Linked DNA regions of Caenorhabditis elegans. The protein of the gene in region 2 interacts with the protein of the main gene of each other region in a pairwise test. Each region holds a gene or a part of one and is shown on either strand. Other genes may lie near its edges. The genes, in order: spig-12 and hlh-8.

Region 1 (3,620 bases), on a different chromosome or scaffold from region 2:
TCCCTTGCCACCGAATTTTTTATGAAATTAATTCAACTTTACCCATTTCAATGAAAAAGTTCAAAACAGCGGTTTTCAGAAACTCCGTCTTATTGGAATAAATGTTCTTCTGGTGATTCCCTACAAATTGCAAGTTTAATTTTAAAATTCAATTTAAAACAATTACTGTTTCAAAAAAATATTTTCAATATAGAATTTTTTGAACTGACTAGTATGCGGTTTTTTTTGGGAGCAAGTAACTATTTTTTGTTGCCCATATTTTTTTCGGCAGATTTTTCTCAAATTCGCTTCAGTTTCCAAAAAATGTCAAATTTTGATAATTTAAAAATTTTACTGTTTCAATGAAATTTCATAGTTTTGAATATTTTTTCAAAAGGTTTCACAATTTTCCTAACGTTTTGTCAGTTATTTCTAAACTCAATTGTCTGCTTAATGCAAATCCTAACAAGCTAGACACTAAAAAATTTTTTTGCAACTATTGGAAAAAAAAAGTTTCACTTTCTCAATGTCCATTAATTATCACACTTTTCATTTCTTCACTCATCGTTTTTTTTCACAGAAATAAATGATTCAAGGTCTTTTTTAAGATTTATTATATAGTTTTTTAGTGTTTTTTTCAAAGAATTATGTACAGAATGAATAAATATAAGTACCCGACATGAAAATTGACAAAAAAAAGTTCACAAAAAATGTAAATTTTTGTGAAAAATTACAAAATAACAACTAAAACACTAATGTCTAAACATTTCTATGCAGTTGACCTCGGCGATGATGATTCCACAGAAGATTCCGGTGATTCGGGTCTCGACGAGAGTGGGCTCACTGAGGCGGAGGAGGTGAAGAATTGTTCAAAGCCACGTGGCAGCGAGTTTTCTTTCCCGTTGAGCTGAGCCTGGAGCTCTCGGATGTGGGCGATGGTGGCCATGACGAGCTCGTATTGGTCAGTGTCTTCCTCGGCGGCAACCAATTGTCGGAGTCGGTTTGTTACCTGGAAATTTGAAAAATTAGAAAAAAAGTGGAATTTTTATATTTTGAAAAAAAATTTCTGTTTCAGAAAAAAAATGTAACATTTCAAATGTTGTATTTTTAATAATTCGTCGTAAAACCAAAAAAAAATATTTAGACACCAGACTACAAACTACAAAGGAGACGGACGTACGATATTTTTTTATATATAACTAATGATGATGATATTTGGATTTTTCAGTTTCAAATACAGATTTTTTTTTAAATTTTTATTCAAACTTATAAAAAATCACCAACTTTTTCCTTTTCTCTTCTCTCTGCTGACGTGGATTTTCGAATTTTCCTTGATTTTGGTGAAACGTGGGAGATGGTGTCACGTTGTGGACGAGCAGAAATATTCTTCATTTTTAGGAAAAGGAGACGAGTAGTTGAATAGCGGTCTGTGAAGAGTCAGAATGAGAATGGAGGTCCAGTTGGAGGGAGGAGGCGGGGTGTATCTGTGTACACCCAGCTGCTGTCCAGGCCACGCCTACCACAGGTGCGCGCGAGTACGGGTGGGGGGAAGAAGATAAAAGGGTGGAGAGAGGGAAAATGCCGATAGATAGACTGGGAGACATTTTACAACGGTATAACACAACAACAACGAAAAAAAGAAGACTGATCTCGGGCGGGCTCGAACCACCGACCTTCTGTGTGTTAGACAGATGTGATAACCACTACACCACGAGACCGCTGAGAAATGTGGGTTGGCGGGGTCTAGAGGAGCGGGAGGTAAACGGGGGAATTGTTTGGAATTTTTTGAGTACCCTTTTCAATACTCCAAGATGAAACATTACTTTTTACGTTTTTTTTTTAAATTATTTTGAGAAAAAGAAATGTTTAACTTTGTTTTCAAAACTCCGGTAGATCTACTATCATCCAAAATAGAACACATTTCTTAACAATATTCTGAAACAATATTTTTTTTTCAAAAGTTCACGAAAAATGTCAAATACTTCCAGTTTTGTTTTCAATTATTAAAGTTTCAAAACTGTATTTAAAGTTATAATAGTTTGAAAAAATTGAAAAAGCCTATCGACATAACATCGTTCAAAATGGAATAGTTTTTTTTTAAAGATAATATGAAACAGCAAAAATGTTTTGTTTGAAATTTAATTTTACGAAAACTAAATAATTCATTAAAACTGCGTCATTTTCATATGAAAATGTGTTAAAACAGCTTATAATTTTTTTCAAACAATTAAATTTTAAAAAAATCATTCCACTATTTCAAAATGTTCATTAAATTTTTGAAAAAAGTTGTTTCCAGTACTTATTGTTCTTGTAAGTGTAAAGTATTAATTTGAAGAGAAAGAACATCATCACCCGGTACTCATTATTTTACTATACAGATTCGTTGAAACAGTATATTTTCTTTGGATTAAATGGTTTTCTCTGATTCATCAAGATCTGAAATGTGCATTAAAAGTGCTTTCAAAAAGTTTCAAAACATAAGGATTTTGAAACAGTAATTTTTTTTCTTCAAATTTTCTCACAGATTCCACCTGTACTCTTACAAAACCCAATTACTGCCCATACCCGCCCGGAGCAGCTGTATCAATTTTTGCCCCCGAGGGGGCGAGCAGCAGTTGATGAGCCCCTAAGAAGTTGAGCTTTTCCTGCATCGAACAGCTGCGCGCATTTTCACTTTTGCACCCTTCTAGGGGGTCCACAAAAGCAGAAACGACTAGTACGAATTTTGGGCAAAATTGAAGATAGGGGGTCCCCTGAAATGGAAATGTGTGGGAGGGAAAAGAGGCTCTTTGAAATAAAATATTGGGCGAATGGGAGAACACAGAGGGACCGGGAATAAAAATAAAATTTAGTGGAAAATGTTTTCACTGTTTCAATAAACTATTTTCTAAGATTGAGTACTTAATGAAACAATATTCCTCTTTTTCTTATACAAGTGTAATATAAATTTGGTATAGTATAGTTCGTAATAGTCAAACTTTTCTGCAACCAAACTCGGAACGATTATTTTTTTTTAAATTGATAGATTTCTAAAAATTGAATTTGAAATTTTTACTGTTGCAGAAATATAGAAAAAAAACGTATTAACTCTAAAAAAAATAATGGATCTAAAGATTTTTCCTTAAAGTTTTGCATACAAAAATTCAAAAAAAAACCAAACTATTTTCAAATTCCTACTGGATTAACGGGTTTTTTTCAATAATTTTGCAGTCAACATTTTTTGTAAAATGTTGTTAATTTTAAACCACAGTTGCGCGGGAATTGAAAAATATTTTATTTACTTTTTGAATTTTTTTTTACATTTCTTACAGTTATACTTAGCCATTACGATCTATTTTATTAAGACTGTTACGAAATAATTTAAAAAAACAGACTCGGATTTCTATAGGAACGTTAACATTAGGAATTTCCTTTATTTCTAAACTACCTAAAACAGTAGAACAATTTTTTCTCAATTTTTTAAAAACTAATTCGCATGAGCTAACGGCAGCTGCTGAAACCAAATAAAAAATGGACTTTTTTAAAAAATTTTCTCTTGGACCTGTGTACTGTGATCGCAAAAAACCAAAAATATTGGAACACTCCATTATTTCACACCAACCTGAAACAGTAAAAAAAAATTAATTTTTTTTCCAAACAAA
Region 2 (6,324 bases):
GGAAGCCGACCAAAAAAAGTTTTCCCACGATTATCATACTTTAATTCTGTTTCAATTATTTGTGTTAAGACATTCTAATTGTCGAAGCATTCTAAATTGCTCTGGATTTCTTTTTAAGATTTTTTTTTCAAAAATTTGGCACTTCGTCTTAACTTTAACTGGAAATTTAAAAAATTTAAATTTAGATTTAGATCTATGACCATCCTAATAAAAATGCAAATCTTTCCGATACAATATCAGTAATTTAGTGATAACTCTGTTTTTCAGTGCTTGGAGTAGTCACTAGTCTTGGATGTCAGTACCGCCGTGGTGAAGCTCTTCAAACGAATTCCGAATGGTGTGGGTTGTGCAATTTGTGTTGGCAGTGGAGAAAGCTTCCCGCCGACTATTACCCCAACTATTTGAATGAGGTCAATTGCGACCACAACGACGATGGATGCCTTTCAGGTATTTGACATTTGGGCTCCGATGGGCTCGTTTTTTTTCATAGACGCCCATCCATCACGCCGCTGACCCACACTTTTTTTAGGATTCGGAGAATGCAAGCCAATAATGAGGACGATCAATGTGATGAGACAGAATGGCGATGACTGGGTAAAAGAGTCAATTGATACCACTACTGGGTGTGAATGTCAAGTTGAAATTGGTTCATCATTGCATGGCTTAGTGGTCAAATGATAATTATGATTCAAAATTTTTTTTTACGTGTTTGTATTATAGTTTGATCATATTCACACATAGTTTCTGTTTGCGGGATAAACTTGTTTCATTTAACAATGGGCTTACTAATAGTCTCTTGCAAAATTCTCAAGCAAATTTTTAAGTTTTGAGCAAACGAAAATTGAAATCGAGTAGATATTATTAGACAGATTTGATACATCAAAAATGAGAATAAGGCACTATATCATGAGGACTATGTTGATTGAGAAGCATACATTATCAAATAAATTAGGAGCTGGCCAGTTTTTTCCATATTCGAAATTATTGCCAGTGAATTGGAGTGAGTTGATTTGGATTTGAATTGGGATTTGGAGTTGAGATGGGACACAGTTCATGAAATTCTTCTGAAAAAAAAACAAGGTGACGCGAATTCTCTTCAAAAATTGTACTTTTGTACTTTGACAAAAAGGATTTGCAGGATTACTGATGTTGTGCTAGTCAGACTAAACTGTTTTATGACCCACTATAAAAATTTGTATCAGTACAAAAACTTACGTTTTGGCGGCGGACAAGTCTGATACCAAGGCTGGGGCATCAGACAGTGTGGAGGAATGCTGGATGGAGCAGGAGGGGGAATATGTGCTGAAAAAAGTGAACTTTGTTTTTAAGACACGAATTTTATTCTCATAAGAATTTCAATCATAACAGTTTCAATTCACTCTGAAGCTGAGAATTTTCATTGTTATAAGTGCACAAAGGAAGCCCAGTACACTGTATTTCCTATTACTCCTGCATGTAAGACTAATTGTCGGTAGATTCGTAGAGATGCAAGACTAATAGAGGCTGCAAAACTAAGCAAAGAATTTTAAATTTTGATGATAATTTTTACATAGGTTATATGAAAACAAGTACGACGTTTATAAGTTCGATAAATGTTTAAGAAAGTGGTTAACTTTTCATTTATCCCTGATACAGTTTCCTATAAGATAACATAAAAGCTTTAGAATTTTAACAGCTAGAAAATACTAGTGCTGTTATTAGCCCCATTAGCTAACTAAAATTACAACTGAAAATTTTGAAACGAATTGTTTCTACATCAGTTATTACCCCATTATTTTGATGTAGTCAATTTTAGGTTCGTGTAAATTGATGATCAAATAATTCGGGAAAAATGATAGCTCTAATCATAACCTGACATTTTTCGAAAATATTATAATCCATTAAACTCAAAAAACGTTTCGTACTTCTATTTTCATAGTTTTGCCTAATTTTGAAAGCGGAAAATGCTAAGTTTATGAACATGTTCCAGCCTACGGAACAAATAAAAAATTGAAAATGAATTAACATCTTTGCTCACCAGATTGTAGTGGAGGCAACTGTGAAGGTCCAGCAATTGGTGTGTATCCATTGTTACCCCTCCACATATTGAAAGCCGACTGTAAATTGTATCCACGTTTTTCGTCGAAGATCGAATGGCCATACAGTTTGCATCCATTTTTTTGCATCTGAAATTGTTTTATTCAATTATCCCACAGTATCTCCAACTCAAAACCTCGTCAAGGAAGGATATGTAATCGGTTGCAATGCGTAGTGTGTGGATCTTGCTCATCTTGTCTGAGGGCATCGACGGGATCAGTTTACGCAAAAGTGTGAAAGCGTCATTGAGTTCCTGTAAACAAATCATAATACGAGTGATCTAAATGTTTTTTTTCGCGCATAAACAGTAGATAATGTTTATAAAGCATAAACATATCAAGATAGAGAAGAACTCATTAGGTCATTAGGATAGTTGTTATCACAGTTTTCGGCAATTTCCGGCAATTGCTAAAATTGACCAACTTGCCGAAATTGCCAATTGCCAGGTTTTTTTTGGTAGTTTTCAAACATAATTATATTTAGAAAACACTACCGCGTTTTTGTATTCATTTAGGTTTTTTTTGAAAAAGGGCTTAACGCCACGAGGTTTTGAAGTTTACGGCAATTGGTAGTTGTCGTGCACTTTTAGTGATATTCGGAATGCATTGCAATTTGCAATAGTTTCAAGACTCCATTTGGCGTTTCAAAGACGGTGTGGAATTACTAATTAACTTAATATTTTGGTAATTGTTTTTAAAAACTGCTAACAACTTAGACTTTATTTAAAAAATCGCCATCATCAATATCTTTTAAATTCGGCAAAAATATTGCTCAACCATCACTCATTTTCCCCATCAAAAACGTTTTGTTTAGCTAGCGCCTTGGCTCAGAAATGTCGTCCGTGGAAAGAAGAAAAATAAGTTTTCTGCCTTCAGCCTCTCTGATTCCTGTGATATTTTGAAATTGTCTCCAGATGTTCTCAGGATTCAGAAGGGACCTTTTCTTTTTATTGCCCCCCACCCTCTTCTCCCATCTCGCGTCTTGCATCTTCCTCTACCGTACTCCGAAAAGCAACTCAAAATTCTTACGGAAGGAGTTGAGGAAGTGGTTTAATGTTAGCCGTAAACGAAGGCGACGTTAGGAGTTTTGGAACGCAGCGAGCTAGCGAGCATGCCAGATGATGAGCCATAAACATTGCGCGGGAGAACAATAAAGTGTGTCGTCGAGCCTGGCGGTCAGGGTGATATGTGAAACTAGTTATTGAGGTGTCGGAAAAGTGTGAGATATGGCTTGGGAACGGAAGCTGTAAATGATATGCGATATGCGAAAGAGTCGTGTTCAATTTGGTTGCCGAGTTATGGTTTTAAAATTGGTTCCCCGGTAACATTTTTTTGTAACTAATTTTTTAAATACTAGATCGTAGGGGGAAGTAGAAGTAAAGAACTGGAATATTTATATAAATTTTGAAAAGAAGCAATGGCTCTACAGTTCCAATTACAGAATAATACCTTTTAAAAAAGTTCAGAAACGGTTTTGACGCAAAAAAACATGTTTGAATATTAAAAAAAGCACATTTTTGTCATTTTTTGATGTCGAAAAGACCGAAAATCATGTTTATTTAGTCATACCTTTTCTTTGCGAAATTTAGTATTTTATTCCACGTTTATTTCCTCGATACGGGTGAACATACTTATAATCAACAGATTTTTTTCAAATTTTGCGGATTGATCTACTGAAACTGTACCTTAATCAATGGAAAAAAACGTGAAAAAATTACCAAAGCGTGCAATGAAGGGGTATGGATTACAACGATACTGAACAGTAACAGATAATCTTAATGACCCGGTTTTTTTGGAGTGTTCGCTCACTAATTTATAGGATTTCGTGTGAAGGGGATATTTCATTGCTTACATGGCTAGCACTAATTTTATAATTCACTCAAACTTGATAACTTCAGTTGAAAATTCGACATTTTATTGCTAAGAAGAGAAAAATTTGCTCAAATATACTAATTACATAACAAAGATCAAAAGTTGTTCTCAACGCAAAACTGTCATTGAAAAATTGTGTGAAAGTCGTACGCAGAATAGATGCAACAAACAATGACCTGACTGACCTGACATGGTTTTTTTCATTTATAAAATGATAGTATCAATTCTAGGTTACTATGTTTGACTACGTTAAAAAAAACTATATATTTAATTTCTGTTTTTTTTTTCGAGCTGCTGATCTAGGTTGAAGCCTCTAAAATAACATTTTGAGAGAAAGGCGGTCATTTTCAAAATATATTAAACAACCCGAAACTCTCAAAAACAATTGAATGAACATTTACCTTGGTCCTTTGACGTTCCCGTCTGTTGGCACATGCTCTCTGCTGCACATTTTCCACTTCATTCTTTCGAACCACGCGTTCTCCTTTTCTACGAGCCACCATCTGTGAAAATCATATTTGAAATCGGTCAGTTCAAGTAATAAACATATGAAAAGTAACACATTAAAAAATCAACAAAAAAAACATACCTGGAACGTTAATGAGTGGAAGAAATGAGATCCAAACATATGCGTAACAGAGGATGGGCGGGGCTCCGCTACGAAGAATCTCTGCAGCGGTCCGCTTCTTCTTCTTTCTCTCGTGACTGCTCGGTGAAAAGAAAGGGGACGGGTGAGAACTCTATGCGGACAGTTATTCATGACTTCTTCTTTGTTTCGATAGTTGAAAAATTACCGCGGAAAAAAGAATTTGAGAGTGAAGGTAGAAGCAAAGCAACCTACACTAACACATAAAATGGTACAAATGTAGTATACATTCGAAAACCATTGAAACTGCTCCAAAATTTAGGAAAGTTGTCGAGTCTCTAACCATAGTTCAGCATGATTTCAGTGTTTTGAAACTGTTGAAAATTTAAGAAGAAATCTTGCAGCCCAATTTTAAAGTTGTACTTACTGAATTGAAACTTCACATCTTTCAAAAGTCCCATTCTATACCATCATGATACAAAATCAAGATTATGCAAATTGGTTTGAATATTTTATTAACGGTTATTCAAATTATCATTTTCGAAGTTCCAGTGACCTTATTCCTGAAATACTAAATTGTTTCAAAGTGTATTGTTTTCAATAAGTTTCATTATGAAATTGGGTGTTTGCAGACAATTTTGAGTCTAATAAAGCAATAAAAAAAATTCGACTACACCACTATTAAAATACTAAGGAAATGCGGTAATTAAGTAGTTTTGGTAATTATGTATTACATGTTTTGAGGCATAACTTGACTTTTACCGTAGAATTATTATGGAATTATAAGAATCGAGATGAGCGTCCTCGTTTAGTTAAATTTTGTAAATTCTTTTCAACTTACCAAACTAACTAAAAAATTTCGAATAACAGACAAAACATACTTCAAACTGTATGTAAAATAAACCCAATTATGACTAAACTCTATGCAAGCTCATTCCACGGATCACAAAAATATGTCAACCAACGAAACCTTGAGCAAATACATGATGTGCCGCAATACAGATTCCTTCATAAAAACCAAAATTATTGTAGTATAAAGTTAAACTTTTTTTAAAGATTTTTCTTTTATTGAAATTATGTCTGGTATTCGAAAAAAAAATTTCTTACGTTACTTGGCATTCTGTGTTTTCAATCTATAATAGTTGTCAATTAGGAAAATCGTTAGGACATACCATTAAAAAAACACACATAAAATAAATTTGTTTAAATCTGAAGTATGACATAAAAATGGAATTTGTGATTTCAAGCTTAAATAAAATCAGTAATTTTTGTTTTAATTTTTTTTCACATCGATATTTGGAATCAAGGGAAAATTTGGAATCAATAAAAAATATTTCCCAGGTTTCGGTAATATTTCCCATGTTTCCCATTTTCCTCGTTAGACTTAGGAATGGTGTTTTTCTAAGTAAGCCTGAAAATATGAAAGCATTTCACACGTTTTTTTTTAAGTTAAAAAATTTATTTTTAAATTGGCGGGGGTACCCATATTTTTTATCAAAATATGTCTTGATTCATAAATAAAACTTGTCCATTTTGTAACTCCAATTTACCGTAATCTTTTGTTAATCAGTAATAAACAGTTATTAATTTTAAAATCCAAAAACTCTTTTGATTTATCCAAAATGAGTAACATTGTCCATATTAAAAATCCGATAATCGTAAATGGTTTTGAATTCTTGATAAGAATTTTCTCAGTTTTGCAAGTAGGCCTTAAAACTAATCAATTATAAAAACAACAAATTGCCTACTTACTGCATTACTCAAAAAAAAAAGTCAAATAAATGTGCTTGG

What was found.
Region 1: the proteins of hlh-8 (region 2) and spig-12 interact in a two-hybrid assay, tested with the Caenorhabditis elegans proteins (one large-scale study listed by BioGRID).

Annotation. Positions count from the first base shown.
Region 1 is NC_003282.8:16,380,807-16,384,426, forward strand, and holds spig-12 (BHLH domain-containing protein), read right to left. Parts: upstream 1,410-3,620; 5' UTR 1,372-1,409; coding exon 1,264-1,371; intron 1,115-1,263; exon of another isoform or gene 1,091-1,114; intron 989-1,090; coding exon 749-988; 3' UTR 572-748; downstream 1-571.
Region 2 is NC_003284.9:8,114,764-8,121,087, reverse strand, and holds hlh-8 (Twist-related protein), read right to left. Parts: upstream 4,632-6,324; 5' UTR 4,537-4,631; intron 4,451-4,536; coding exon 4,349-4,450; intron 3,324-4,348; exon of another isoform or gene 3,177-3,323; intron 2,330-3,176; coding exon 2,213-2,329; intron 2,166-2,212; coding exon 2,018-2,165; intron 1,303-2,017; coding exon 1,216-1,302; intron 1,065-1,215; coding exon 982-1,064; 3' UTR 748-981; downstream 1-747. Other genes in the region: C02B8.12 (Cpw-wpc domain-containing protein), read left to right, coding at 268-447, 530-678. UniProt on the Caenorhabditis elegans protein: Acts as a transcriptional regulator. Involved in postembryonic mesodermal cell fate specification. Activates ceh-24 and egl-15 during mesodermal patterning.